Linked DNA regions of Canis lupus familiaris. The protein of the gene in region 1 purifies or fractionates together with the protein of each later gene. This does not show direct contact. Links are inferred from orthologs where the notes say so. Each region holds a gene or a part of one and is shown in the gene's direction. Other genes may lie near its edges.

The links.
Region 2: the proteins of PA2G4 (region 1) and NCL purify together in Homo sapiens (affinity purification with mass spectrometry; 3 studies listed by BioGRID and IntAct, with this or other methods). This does not show direct contact. The link is inferred for Canis lupus familiaris from reciprocal best matches to the Homo sapiens genes PA2G4 and NCL.
Region 3: the proteins of PA2G4 (region 1) and NPM1 purify together in Homo sapiens (affinity purification with mass spectrometry; 4 studies listed by BioGRID and IntAct, with this or other methods). This does not show direct contact. The link is inferred for Canis lupus familiaris from reciprocal best matches to the Homo sapiens genes PA2G4 and NPM1.

What each region holds. Positions count from the first base shown.
Region 1 is NC_049231.1:783,865-787,941, forward strand, and holds part of PA2G4 (proliferation-associated protein 2G4), read left to right. Parts: intron 1-40; coding exon 41-174; intron 175-475; coding exon 476-570; intron 571-687; coding exon 688-815; intron 816-990; coding exon 991-1,044; intron 1,045-1,256; coding exon of another isoform or gene 1,257-1,322; exon of another isoform or gene 1,323-1,588; intron 1,589-4,077. UniProt on the Homo sapiens protein: May play a role in a ERBB3-regulated signal transduction pathway. Seems be involved in growth regulation. Acts a corepressor of the androgen receptor (AR) and is regulated by the ERBB3 ligand neuregulin-1/heregulin (HRG).
Region 2 is NC_049246.1:43,521,077-43,525,608, reverse strand, and holds the start of NCL (nucleolin), read left to right. Parts: upstream 1-1,352; 5' UTR 1,353-1,499; coding exon 1,500-1,517; intron 1,518-2,668; coding exon 2,669-2,785; intron 2,786-3,967; coding exon 3,968-4,451; intron 4,452-4,532. UniProt on the Homo sapiens protein: Nucleolin is the major nucleolar protein of growing eukaryotic cells. It is found associated with intranucleolar chromatin and pre-ribosomal particles. It induces chromatin decondensation by binding to histone H1.
Region 3 is NC_049225.1:41,660,232-41,664,735, reverse strand, and holds the start of NPM1 (nucleophosmin), read left to right. Parts: upstream 1-1,562; 5' UTR 1,563-1,648; coding exon 1,649-1,706; intron 1,707-3,715; coding exon 3,716-3,795; intron 3,796-4,356; coding exon 4,357-4,476; intron 4,477-4,504. UniProt on the Homo sapiens protein: Involved in diverse cellular processes such as ribosome biogenesis, centrosome duplication, protein chaperoning, histone assembly, cell proliferation, and regulation of tumor suppressors p53/TP53 and ARF.

The sequences.
Region 1 (4,077 bases):
AGCACCAGACCAACTGTGACCTAACGCATTACTCTTTTAGGCCAAGGATGCAGGACAGAGAACCACCATTTACAAACGAGACCCTTCTAAACAGTATGGCCTAAAAATGAAAACTTCACGTGCCTTCTTCAGTGAGGTGGAGAGGCGTTTTGATGCCATGCCATTTACTTTAAGGTACTATGACTGCACTTAACAAGAACAGGACTCAGAACCAGCCTGACTCATAGACCACACACCCAGGAACACTGTTACCTCTCCCAGTGCACCCCCTCCCACCCTGCCCCTGCCTAGACTTGTAGCTCCAGCCTGCATGCATGCCTTCTCTCCCTCTCCCCATTGCCCTCTCATCGAAGATAATGTGCAAGAGCAATCCTAAGCATGATTTCTGCCTGAGGGTAGGAGCTATTTAAAAACAGGAAAATGGTAAGACTTGATAGGGGGTTAAGGATACCTGAATCTGTCTTCCCTCACCCAGAGCATTTGAGGATGAGAAGAAGGCCCGGATGGGTGTGGTGGAGTGCGCCAAACATGAACTGCTACAGCCATTTAATGTTCTCTATGAGAAGGAGGGTGAGTTCTAAGAAGAGAGTTTCACTTTGGAGCCCCTAATTAGGGTCCCCACCATCTAGCTTCAGAAAAGATTATGACAGGGGGTCATTTTATCAAAACCTTTCCTTTCTCCTATAGGTGAATTTGTAGCCCAGTTTAAATTTACAGTCCTGCTCATGCCCAATGGCCCCATGCGGATAACCAGTGGTCCCTTTGAGCCTGACCTCTACAAGTCTGAGATGGAAGTCCAGGATGCAGAGCTAAAGGTCAGTGTGTGAGCACAAAGGAGACAAAGGAGAGTGGCGAGCACATGGCACCTGTCCTGGGAGTGAGGATGAGATGTCAACAAAGGCCTGAAAAGAGTTAAGATACTGAGAGTGACATTTCATGTTTCCTCTACATTGCTCAAAATTTGTTTTCTTTCTTCCTCCTCTTTTCCAGGCCCTCCTCCAGAGTTCTGCAAGTCGGAAAACCCAGAAAAAGAAAAAAAAGAAGGTGTGTTATGATCTTCCCTCTCTGGCAGGGTGAACCTGATCTGTCTTTAGTCTACCTTCCTGGGTTGTGGTGGACGTACATATTTCTGTAGATCCTTACTGCCCTGCTTGGCCCTGACCTAAAGCATTAGGATGTTTTTGCCCTTGGTCTCCCAGATACTATTGCAAGTAGTTGGAAACTGGTAAGTCTTCCTGTTCTTTCCATGAATATAGGCCTCCAAGACTGCAGAGAATGCCACCAGTGGGGAAACATTAGAAGAGAATGAAGCTGGGGACTGAGGTGGGTCCCATCTCCCCAGCTTGCCGCTCCTGCCTCATCCCCTTCCCACCACACCCCAGGCTCTGTGAAGTGCAGTTCGTCTTCTCCACCCAGGACCGCCAGCAGAGCAGGGTCTCCCTGCCCCCATCCCTGTCCCCATCCCAACCCCTTCCAACAACAACCAGCTCCAACTGACTCTGGTCTTGGGAGGCCAGGCTTCCCAGCCACCGAAGACTACTTTAAATAGAAAAGAGAAATTGATAATAAAATCAGGAGTCAAAATTCATCGTCTTCAAGCCCCTCTTTCTAGCCTTTTTCTACTACTCTCTGCTTGGTCAAGGTTTATGGCCCTACAACATAACAGGGAGAAGGCTAAAGTAGCCACCACCACTAAAAACTCAGCTGAAATTTTTTTATACCACTCTGGTGTCAGCATTTTCCCATCTGTTGGGGCTTGTTCCTCTCTTTTCTCACTCCCCAGGTATTTTATCAGGCCTCAAAATATAGAGAAGAGCTATATTCTTCAGATTGTTTTTATTCACATGTAGCAGATTCCTTTTCTGATCCACACTGTCTGGTTAGGCCCCTCTCATTTTTAGGAGCTGGGGCCTGAATTTACCAAGGGATTCTCATCTGTCAAATGGATCCTCATTTGTAAATCTCTTTAGTTTTAGTCATTTCTGTTCCACAGGACTTTTTTTTTGTCTTCACAAAGCTGTGAAGAAGTAATCCATCTCAACCTTGTCCATTTCTTTGGAGTCAATTGGAGGGGGGGGGTCAATGCATTCCCCTGCTCCATCTTAGAAACCTGAGCTGGAAGCTCAACTGGTTTTTGTTCCCTGTTTGAAATATTTTGACCTCCCTCCCTGAAAGACCAGGAACCAAAGGAGCAGACTGACTGAAAATACAACTTTTGGCTTTTTGAAGCTGTGGACTTGGATTGGATGAATTGCTAGGGGTTTGGAGAGAAAGGTGATGAATTTCAGTACCTCTGGCATGCTGTCCCAGGAACTAGGGCTCCCGCTAACTTATGAGGTTTTTAAACATGTTGAAAATGACATGGCGTTAAAATAAATTTGGATTTGCTCATAATCCTGGTGCCTTCATATGGTGCTCTTATTTGATGGAGGTGGGGGAAATGTCAGTTGAAGTGATAGTCATTTGGAACTAGTTTTCTATGTTGCCACATTCTGTCTTTCTAAACCAAGAAGTACTGTGGATTGGGGAAGACCTAAAGCCTGGGTTCTCTGAATTAAGACAGTAAATTTTTAATGAAAGTTTTTAAATTTTTCTGGAGTAAAATCTTACCCCTTGTTGGTGACAATTTGTTTAGGACAAGGTGTACTGTAAGAAAGAAAGCCTGTATATAAGTATATTGGGGCACCTAGGTGGCTCAGTTAAGTGTCGGCCTTTGGCTCAAGTCGTGATGTCAGGGTGCTGGTATCGAGCCCCATATGAGGCTCTTTGCTCAGTGGGGAGTCTTTAAAAAAGTATTTTGATTTCAGAAACCAGGAAAAATGCCTTTGTCATTAGGCAACTTTTCAGGGCCAGTCTGAGATGGATGGATGATTTATTAGACTATCTTACTTACTTGTGAGGCTTTGCTGATACAGAGATAACTATAGTGAACAAAATAATGTAAGTCCCTTCATAAGAGCTTATAGACTACAGTTGACCCCTAAACACAAGGATTAGGGGCACCAACGTGCTGGCACAGTCATCCATATGTAACTTGACCCCCCAAAACTTAATAGCCTACTTTTGACCAGAAGCTAGAATAACCATTAACACATTTTACGTGTTATAGGCATTATATACTCTATTACAGTAAGATAAAGACAATCACAAGGAAGAGAAAATACATTTACGGTATTGTATATAGATTAAAATTCCACGTGTAAATGTACCCATGGCAGTTCAAACCTATGTTCATATGGCAACTGTAGTGGGCAATCAACAGGTGAAATGCTGGTGGACTTGATTTAATGTTGATGGAGGTTTTTTTTCAAAAATTGTTATATTCTTTTTTTTTTTTTTTTTAAATTGTTATATTCTGATGGTGACAATACTAGGTCTTCTTAAACGAGGGCCTGAAGTATTTTTTTTTAATTTTTTTTTAATTTTTATTTATTTATGATAGTCACAGAGAGAGAGAGAGAGGGAGAAGCAGGCTCCATGCACCGGGAGCCCGACGTGGGATTCGATCCCGGGTCTCCAGGATCGTGCCCCGGGCCAAAGGCAGGCGCCAAACCGCTGCGCCACCCAGGGATCCCCAAGGGCCTGAAGTATTAAAAGTTTTTTTCCAGTTAAAAAGATGAAGTGTTACTGTGTAAATTATAAAGGAAAACACGAAAAAAGGATGATCACAAAAAGCTGTACACTCTTACTATAAAAGTAAGGTGAAATCTGTATGGTAAAGGGCTCTTTCTCATCCTTCCTAAATCAAGTTTCCTATAGCCAAATCTATGGGTATGTTTTCTGAGTGCTTCTGACCTGACCATACCATGAGATGGATAAGTTCTTTACCTTAATACCAAATATTCTCACTCTAAAGACAGCTGAGGGGTGCCTGGGTGGCCCAGTGGTTGAGTATCTGCCTTTGGCTCAGGTCATGATCCTGGGGTCCTGGGACTGAGTCCCACATGGGGCTCCCTGCGGGGAGCCTGCTTCTCCTTCAGCCTGTGTCGTGTGTGTGTGTGTGTGTGTGTGTGTGTGTGTGTGTGTGTGTGTGTGTGTCTCTCTCTCTCTCTCTCTCTCTCTCATGAATAAATAAAA
Region 2 (4,532 bases), on another chromosome or scaffold:
CTCTGTGTGTTTGTGTGTCTATCATGAATAAATAAATTTTAAAAATCTTAAAAAAAAAAAAAAAAAGAATTGCAAAGTAACTGGATGGTTCACAAGAATATCCGTGAGCCCCTGTTAAAACACAAAATCCCCGTCCCCAACCCAAACCTCTTGAATTAGAATCTCCACGGAGGAGCCTCTAAACAACAGTTCAATTGTGGAAATATACTGATAGCTGAAGGGATCCTGGTTTTGTAGAAACATGGTAGGTACTGGATGTCCAGGTTATGTCGCAGGCGGGCTCTGTACCGAAGGAAGTGCTCTGGGATGTTCGGCACTAACAAGTTTGCCCACAATGACCCATCAAAATAACTGGCAAAAGCAAAAGGCAAAGGCCCTTCTGTGCCTCCGCCATTGAGGGCACCTTTCCTTTGGCTCTTGGGACCCTTAGGTGACACGGAACCCTCCTCAGTCAGCACACCTTAAGGTATGCTTTAGTCCCAAAAAACAAAAAGGGAACTTGCGCGGCCAATGGGTCGGTGTTTGGCCTGACCAAGTTCCTCCCCCCGCCGCCGTTGTAACACCCGGTGACCACCAGAAAGTTATTCCTCCGGGCCTGTTCCTCGTTGGGACAAAAACCTAGCGCATGAGGTGGCTGGACATTAAATGTGGCGTTTGTGCAGCGCTCACAGACATCCGCGACCGTCTTTATTAACAGCCCTCAGGAGGCAGCTTCGGACACGTGGCCCGAAAGAGAACCACCTGCAGACGGCGCGGGGGGGGGGGGGGGGGGCGGAGGCGGGCCTCCAACCCGGGCGCTTTGAACCTCACGGTCCCCGAATTTCCGGAGGTCTCGGGCTCATCCGCGGAGGGAGAAGCGGGCGAACACTTTCTCCTCGGCCGCCGGGCGGCTCGGCGTGGAGAGCGGGTCGGAGCCGCGCGTAGGGCCGCCTGGCATCTGCAAGGCCTCCGGCGTCGACAGCACCCTGGACACTTTCGGGAACCGGAGACCACCAGTACCCAGCCTCCCGGGGCTCGGGAACAAGCGGCGCCAAAAACGGCCGTCTTACCGCGCAGGCGTCGCGAGCGCGGGCCGCGGAGGGGCACTTCAGGAACCGCGCGCCCACTACCCAATCAGCGCGGGCCCTGCACAAAGCGAGTCCCGCCCCCAGGGCGCCGCCACCGAATCCCCTCCCCCTCCCCTGCCCGCTTCGGCCCGCCCACTCCCGCCTGCGCCCCGCCCCGCGCCGTTCTTGGGTAGAGGCTCGCGATTGGCCCACGGGATGGGCGCAGCCTCTGATTGGTCGAGACGGAGTCACGAGGGCGCCGTCGTCGCCTTTCCAGAGGCGATTACTGGGCAGGCTCAGTCTTTCGCCTCAGTCTCGAGCTCTAGCGAGCAGCCAAGCGTACGCGCTCCGGGAACCTCTCGTACCCGCGGCCGCCATCGACGTCGCTTGGATTCTTCTGGGCTCGTCTGCGCCACTCGCCCGCCACACACTCCGCCGGCATAAGCCGCCATCATGGTGAAGCTCGCAAAGGTAAGAAGACGGCTTGCGCAAGCATGGACGTCGAGGCCTGCTTTCTGAGGAGCGCGCGCGCGGCGCCGCGAGGAGGAGGGCCTGCGCGCCGTCCCGGGCGCGTTCGAGGGCGCCATGCTGCGGGAAATCTCGCGCGATCGGCGGGGAGGTCTCGCGGCTTTTGGCTATTTGGTAGCGAGGTGAAGAGCTTCGGCAGGTTCCGCGGGTGGTTGGTGCGGCGCCGAAAGACTTAGGGACTGAGTGGGGAGGGGGCGCTGGGCCTCGGGGTGGAGGGATGATGCCGAACTCCTGCGACGGGCCCAAGCGGGGCCCCGCCTCCTGACGCACGTGCCTCAGCGCGCTGCCCGCCACGTGGGCCGCGCCGCGTGTGTCCCGGCGTCTGCGGAGGGGACTTGGAGGGGAGGCGGGGGGCTGCGGGATGGTTTCAGATGGAGGCCCCGTGGCCTGTGGGCCCCGGCCAGACAAGCGGGCGCGAGGTGGGCTTCAGGAGGAGGCCTTGCCTCGTGCTTTCTGCGCCCTGCTGCGCGCACATGGTGACCTACGGGGTATCCCCACGTGGCTCTGCCTGGTCTGGAAGGGGCGGGGTTTTTTTCCACGGGAAAGAACTTAATGGGGAGACCAAAGGTAGTAAGATTAAGGTCTGATTTTCTTTTATAAAAGTTGTCTTGAAGATCCTGCCCCCAAATTTGGATTCAGGCGACTGTGTAAGATCTGGTGCTAGAATTTACCAAAAGCTTTTTTTTCTCCCCCCCAGGTGTGGTTCTCCGCCCCCGGTGAAGGGCTATGAATTGTTGGCCGTTAAAATTGGCCAGTTGTAGTCTATTAAAATCATGCGTGATGTAATGGTCGGTTTTGGAAGTATCGTTTTAAAAACGGATGTGCTTAACGAAGGCAAAAGGAGGAGGGAGATAATATTGTTGTAGTTGCATTTTTATCCTTGAGTTTCTGTAAAACCTGACAGGAGTAATGGGGTGGGGGTTGGCAGTTGCTGTTTTGACGTTGGCTTCGATAGTGTTCATGTTAATTTTTATATCTAGCATTAGGAAATGTGGACTTTATGTAGGGAGACGGCTGCTTTTTACTCTGAAGAATGATGGCATAATATGAACGGTCAGATGTTTTAGGTGTAATGTGCTAAATGTCTATTTTAGGCTGGTAAAAATCAAAGTGACCCCAAGAAAATGGCTCCTCCCCCAAAGGAGGTAGAAGAAGACAGTGAAGATGAGGAAATGTCAGAAGATGAAGATGATGACAGCAGCGGAGAAGAGGTAATTATATACAACTTTATGGAGACGTGTGTTAAACTATGAAATGGAGAGCTGAAATAGCTGATACTGGATGTATGAAAATATTGGCAAAAATAAGATTATATTCATTGAGTATGGCCTGCTGAGACTGTTTTCCAAGCTCTTCATTAACATGTTGATATAGGTAAGTATTTGAATTTGAGAGAAAAAATTGGGAGTCCTTTTTTCATGTGCATTTTTTGTAGGGCTTGGTGTTATATTTGTGTTCAGCCATGACATTTTTCTAGTTTGAGTATGTTAACCCCCACCTTACTAGATAAACAAACAGCCTGGACTATTAACTGTTAAGTAAGTGGCACTCCTGTGCATTTATTCAGGTCTGAGGTTAGCTTTACCAGATTACTTTCCTAGCCTCCAAGCAGGATTGATTTGTCTCTCATTGTATAAGAGCATCGTGATACTGGTTACTGAACATCTTGGTGTGGGTTGAGCGTTGCCACCTCACTTTGTGTTAACCTATTACTGTTTGCTTACTGTAAAGACAACTATTGTATTTGTGTTTAGATTTCTTGTTTAGGATGTAATGAATATTTTACTGATGATATGGTACCCAGTAAAACTAGGAGTGAGCAAAAAAGTATAATTTTAATGTAGATGAACGATGGTTTTTATCAGGTTTAAGGTGCTTACTCTTTACTAAACTTAGGAAGAGCTAACTATCCAGTGTATTTGATACTCATTTACTGGTCTTAAGAACAAGCCTTCAATGAACCACTGCCCACTGTAGGACCTCTGAATGATTCAGTAGCATCTAACAAGTAGAGCTTTCTTTGTGCAAGACTTCTAATTACATATATATGTCAACTCCTAATCTAACAATATGTAAGGTTGGTGCTGTTATCCCTTACAGAGGAGAAAAAAAGTCGAGGCTTAAAATTTTCTTAAAGCCTGTTTTAAAGTTGCAGTTATAATGTGTGAGGTATTTTAGCTGTTAAAAAGGGGCTCTATATGCTTGAGTATTTTACCTGAAGATGAAGGCTGTGATTTCTGGCACATGGTTCTGTAGTTTAGCATGCTAACATAACATCCAGTGCATGTGGGTCTGAAACCAGAACAGTGTTAGAATTTAGTCTCATTCATGGGACCAAGGCTGTCTTTTTGGGTTTGGAAGAAGACTTACCTTTGGTTTTATTTGTTCTTTAGGTTGTTATTCCTCAGAAAAAAGGAAAAAAGGCTACCACAACTCCAGCAAAGAAGGTAATGGTTTCCCCAACAAAAAAAGTCGCAGTTGCCACACCAGCCAAGAAAGCAGTTGTCACCCCTGGCAAAAAGGCAGCAGCTACACCAGCCAAAAAGGCGGTTGCACCAGCCAAAGCAGTAGCAACACCTGGCAAGAAGGGAACCACACCAGGCAAGGCATTGGTAGCAACCCCTGGTAAGAAAGGAGCAGCCACCCCAGCCAAGGGAGCAAAGAACGGTAAGAATGCTAAGAAGGAAGACAGTGATGAGGAAGAAGATGATGACAGTGAAGAGGAGGATGAGGAAGATGAGGATGAAGATGAGGATGAATTCGAGCCAACAGTGATGAAAGCAGCTGCTGCCGCCCCTGCCTCAGATGAAGAGGAGGATGATGAGGAGGACGATGATGAAGACGACGACGAGGAGGATGAGGATGAGGATGAAGATGGTGAGGAGTTCTTTGGCTAGTTTTTAGGCTACTTTTGTAAGATACATCAGGGTAAGGTTTTGGCAGTAATGATACGTATAC
Region 3 (4,504 bases), on another chromosome or scaffold:
TATATATCCTTTTAAGTCTCAGGATTTTCTCTAGCAATTGGCCATACTCTGCATCTCAAAAGATCCAAGAACTGGACTGGTGAAGACGCTTCTCCAGTTGGGGGTGGGGAACAGTTAGTTCCCATTCACATATTAGTTTCACGGATTTCTCCAAGATAATTAGGGGAATCCTTAAAAATCCTCCAGTGCCCAGGGGGCTCCAGGGCAGGGGCATCCTCAGTCAAGATGTAGCTAGTTTAGAACTAATTTCCAGGCTCACTTCCAGTCTAATCGAGGTCAATGCATTTCTTGTAAATCGTTTGTTTTCTTCACAGGCCAGAACAGTCTTAGCAACGTTAAAATTAGGAACTGCACTGCCTGGGGGCACCTGGGTGGCTTAGTGGTTGAGGGTCGGTCTTCAGCTCTGCATTGACTCCAGGGATGGAGTCCTGCATCAGGCTCCCCTCAGGGAGCCTGCTTCTCCCCCTGCCTGTCTCTGCCTCTCTTTGTATCTCTCATGAATTAACTCACACACACACACACAAATTATATATATATATATATATATATCTATATCTATCTATCTATCTATCTATCTGAAACCGGACCCAGGCATATCCCTCCAAACTCTTAGAGGGATGTTAGCATTGGACTTTGAGCTAGAGCATCCTGTCCTATAGCTTCATTCATTTGGACGCTTGGCCCGTTTCCTCGTCTCCAAACAAGGGATACTCACATCTGCCTCACGGGATCTTACACGGGGAAGTACTGCGGGTACGTGGCCCTTTTAAAATCTCGCGTCTGGAGAGATCAACCAGGCTTGGTGCCTGCCCTGCTCATTTGGAAGAGGCTCACTCAGTCCCCCTTAGGCCCCCAGATGACAAAAAGATGAGGGATTTCAACTTCAGAGATGTTTACTCAGCAAGGAAAGGGCTATAAAAGCAGTTGAATAAGTCGGGACAGCAGCCACATCTTTTCTCCCCAACAAGGAATACTCGGTTATCCAGGGTCTCTGGCACCTGAAGCTTTAACTTTGAGGAAACAATGAACTCTGAACCCAAGCCTTCGGGTGAGTCAAAATCCCGAGGTGGCTCTGCCTGCCTGGAGGCCTGAGAGGCACGAAGTGATGGGGAACGGTGAACCGAGCTCTCTGGCTCTCTTACAACCGGCTCGCCCTCCATACCTAGCACCGCCAAGGGCTGCCGCCGCCATTTTGCAGGGTGGGCAGCGCAGGCTCCAGGCGCTGGGCCGGCGGGTGGGAGCGGGAGAGGACGTGGAAGGGTGGGAGGGGGGCAGCGCGCGCCACCAGGGGAGAGCGCGCGTGCGCACAGCGGCGGCGGCGGCGGCGGAGGGGTGGGGCCGGGGTACGAGTGCGCGTGCTCCATGGGAGCCCGCGAAGTACCTGGAGGAGGTGGGGGGCGAGGTAGAAAGGAGTGGAGTTGAAGAGCGCTTGCGCGGGAGGGCGACCGTCAGGGGAGGGGGGCTCCCGAGCACGCGCGCGGAGACGGGACTTGGAAAGCTCTCGCGAGATCTTCGCGGTGCTATATATGTGCGCAGGGAGCCCGCGTCCTTTCCCTGCTGTGATTCCGTCCTGCGCGGCTGTTCTGAGGAACAGTAGTCGTGTGTCTCCGTCCGCCTTCTCTCCCACCTAAGTGCGTGCCACCGCCCCATGGAAGATTCGATGGACATGGACATGAGCCCCCTGCGGCCCCAGAACTATCTTTTTGGTAAGTGCAGGGGGGGTGGGGTGAGGCCGGGCAGGGCCTGGTGGCTTTGAGGTGGGGGTGGGGGGGCGGGAATCCCACTGAGGCCTGGGCTGGGAGGGTAAGCCAGGCAAGCTGGAGGCCCGAGGGAGGGAGGAGAGCCGCCGAGGCCCTGCCCCGTAAGGGATGGGAGGTCCAGAGAGGAGCACGAAGCGGTGAAAGGAGGGGCGGCCTGAAGCCTTGGGCAGGAACGATCCCAGGCCCAGGGCCTGAGGTAACGTAGAACCGACCGGCTGAGGGTTCGGCTTTGCTTGGGGGCACGCGGTAGAGCCACGGGCTTGATTTTCTCTTGAGCTGCGTGGTTTCGTACAGGCTTGGGATTCTTGGCCGGCGTCTTTGATGCAGGGCCCCGGCTTGGTCCTGGAGGTTGAGGGAGTCCGCGGTGTGGGCCGTGGGCTTCCTTTCTGGGGGAAAGGGTATTTAGAGCCTCGCGTTGTCCCTAGGCCTCAAGAGTGCGGAGCTTCAGGGCCGAGTTTCAGCCCCGGTGCCTCGGCCCGTTGCGGGGGGAGGGGAGGCGCGGCCGGGCGTGAGGAGGCCGCAACCGCTGGGAGCACGTGGTTGCCACGTGGTTGGGGGAAGGAGGGGGTGTGGGCACTACATCCGGGTCTCCCCGGTGGCTTGTCACCACGGAGCGTGGCATCCTGGGGCTTAATTGAAGCTGTTGGGCGGGAAATCTTAAGTGAAGAGGCTGGTAGAGCCAAGATTCTGTAAGTCTTTGTTCAGTCCTTAACATCCGTGATGGCAGTTCTCATTTATAGAGCACTTGTTAAAAAGATCGAACCAGCCCACTTTGCACATGACTGATGCTCAGAACTGAAGGCTTGAGGCTTAACGAGGGCTTGTACTTGTAGGTAAATAGTGGGTAGATCTAAACCAAGACCCTTCCTTGCCTCTAGAACTGGTGCGTTGATTTTTGGAGGGAGGCTGGGGGAAACAGCCTTCTTGTGGCCTTGAGCAAACAGCTTTTTTGAAAAGATGAGGAATTTGTGTGGGGTTCAGTAAGAGCTGGTACTGTTTTTGGAATCTTCCCCTCCCCTCTCCAGAAAGCAGTTACATACATAGTAGAGAGGCCAGCTTTGGTTTTCAATCTTAGTGAAATTGTCAGAAGCCCTATCTTTGTCAGACTTTGAAGTAAGTGCAAATCCTGCCCCCACGTTTCTTTATATACCATGCTGAGATTTGTTAATTGAGGTAACATTTAGACATCTATGTACCAGTAACTGTTAGAGGGCAATTAAATGGAGTCCTTTAATTAAAAGGTTATTCTGATGGTACTTGAAACAACTTGCCTATTGATGGGATGGGAGTGGGTAACTTACACCATATGTTACGGCTTTTATTCCTAGTCCTTTTGAATTGCTAGGGTTTCTGGTCAATTTATACTGTATTTTTGTGTTAATCTTTTCTACGGGAAATATCCCTAGGATATATCTATTCTTAAACATAATTTCTAAGCATAATGAACATCATTTCTGTTAACTTCAAAGGTGGAATATTGACCCCTCTAGCAAGTTTTGGGTCTTTTACATCTGTAGTTTATGTCCTGTGAATACAGGCTGTTCTTGTAGGTGTTTGTGTAACCATTCTCGTTTCTAAATTGGTCACTTCTCTTTCGTAGGTAGGTGATTAGTCCTTTTTAAAGTTTATCGATATTGTACATTAGACTTCGTTTCAGATACTGCCAGATCCAGATTTACTAGATCTTTGAGCTTGTTTCTATCTAAAAACAACTAGAGTGTGGTTGAAAATGAAATAGTATAGTTGGAAAGTGGAATTTATAAAGCCCTGTATAAATGTTACGTGATGTTTCTAGACATTGCTGTTCAAGAAATCCAGGAAGAGCTACCTCTGCATTGCCTACTGATAGCTAGAATAGTGGGAAACTTGGTCACAAATTAACTGTTACCTTTCGGTTATCCTCACTTAAGTTTCAGTGTCATTTTTCTCTGTTGCTTTTTTCCCTTGATTTACAGGTTGTGAACTAAAGGCTGACAAAGATTACCACTTTAAGGTGGATAATGATGAAAATGAGCACCAGTTATCTTTAAGAACGGTACTGAAACTTTCCAAAATAAACTACTTGACCTTTCTTGATTCCTATTCCTATTTGTGTGACTTAACATTTTCATAGTAGTATTGTTTATAACTGAGTGTTATAAATACATGATCTTGTACCTGTACTATAAAACTTGGCATCTTTACTTTTCATTTGGTAATGTGAAGTTGAGTCACACTACTGTTCAACTTTCCATATTTGTGTATTTTGCCTCTCTGGCTGCATTAGAAAAAGCCCTTTAGGGCAGTGATAAATTTTATTTTTTTGTCCTCCATAGTGGGGCCTGCAGCCTTACTGCCTAACTTAGAATAGGTGGACAGTAGATGTTAGGTGGTCCATTCTGTGGGTAGCAGATAAAACTATGCCATTAAATATATTTGCTGCGTTTGTTCAAATGAAAAATTGGTTGGCAAGGCAACCTAAAACTTGAAGATGACATTGTGCACCGATAAGTTTTCTGTTAGTGGTAATAATAGGTTTATAATTGCTTAGTTTTTTCTTAGAAGGCAAATTTTGGGGGGATTGTAAAATAGGAACTTAAAGTATTTTTGTTCACAGGTCAGTTTGGGAGCTGGTGCAAAGGATGAATTGCACATTGTTGAAGCAGAGGCAATGAATTATGAAGGCAGTCCAATTAAAGTCACTCTGGCAACTTTGAAAATGTCTGTACAGCCAACGGTAAGGGCACTGAGACTTTTGGATTTTA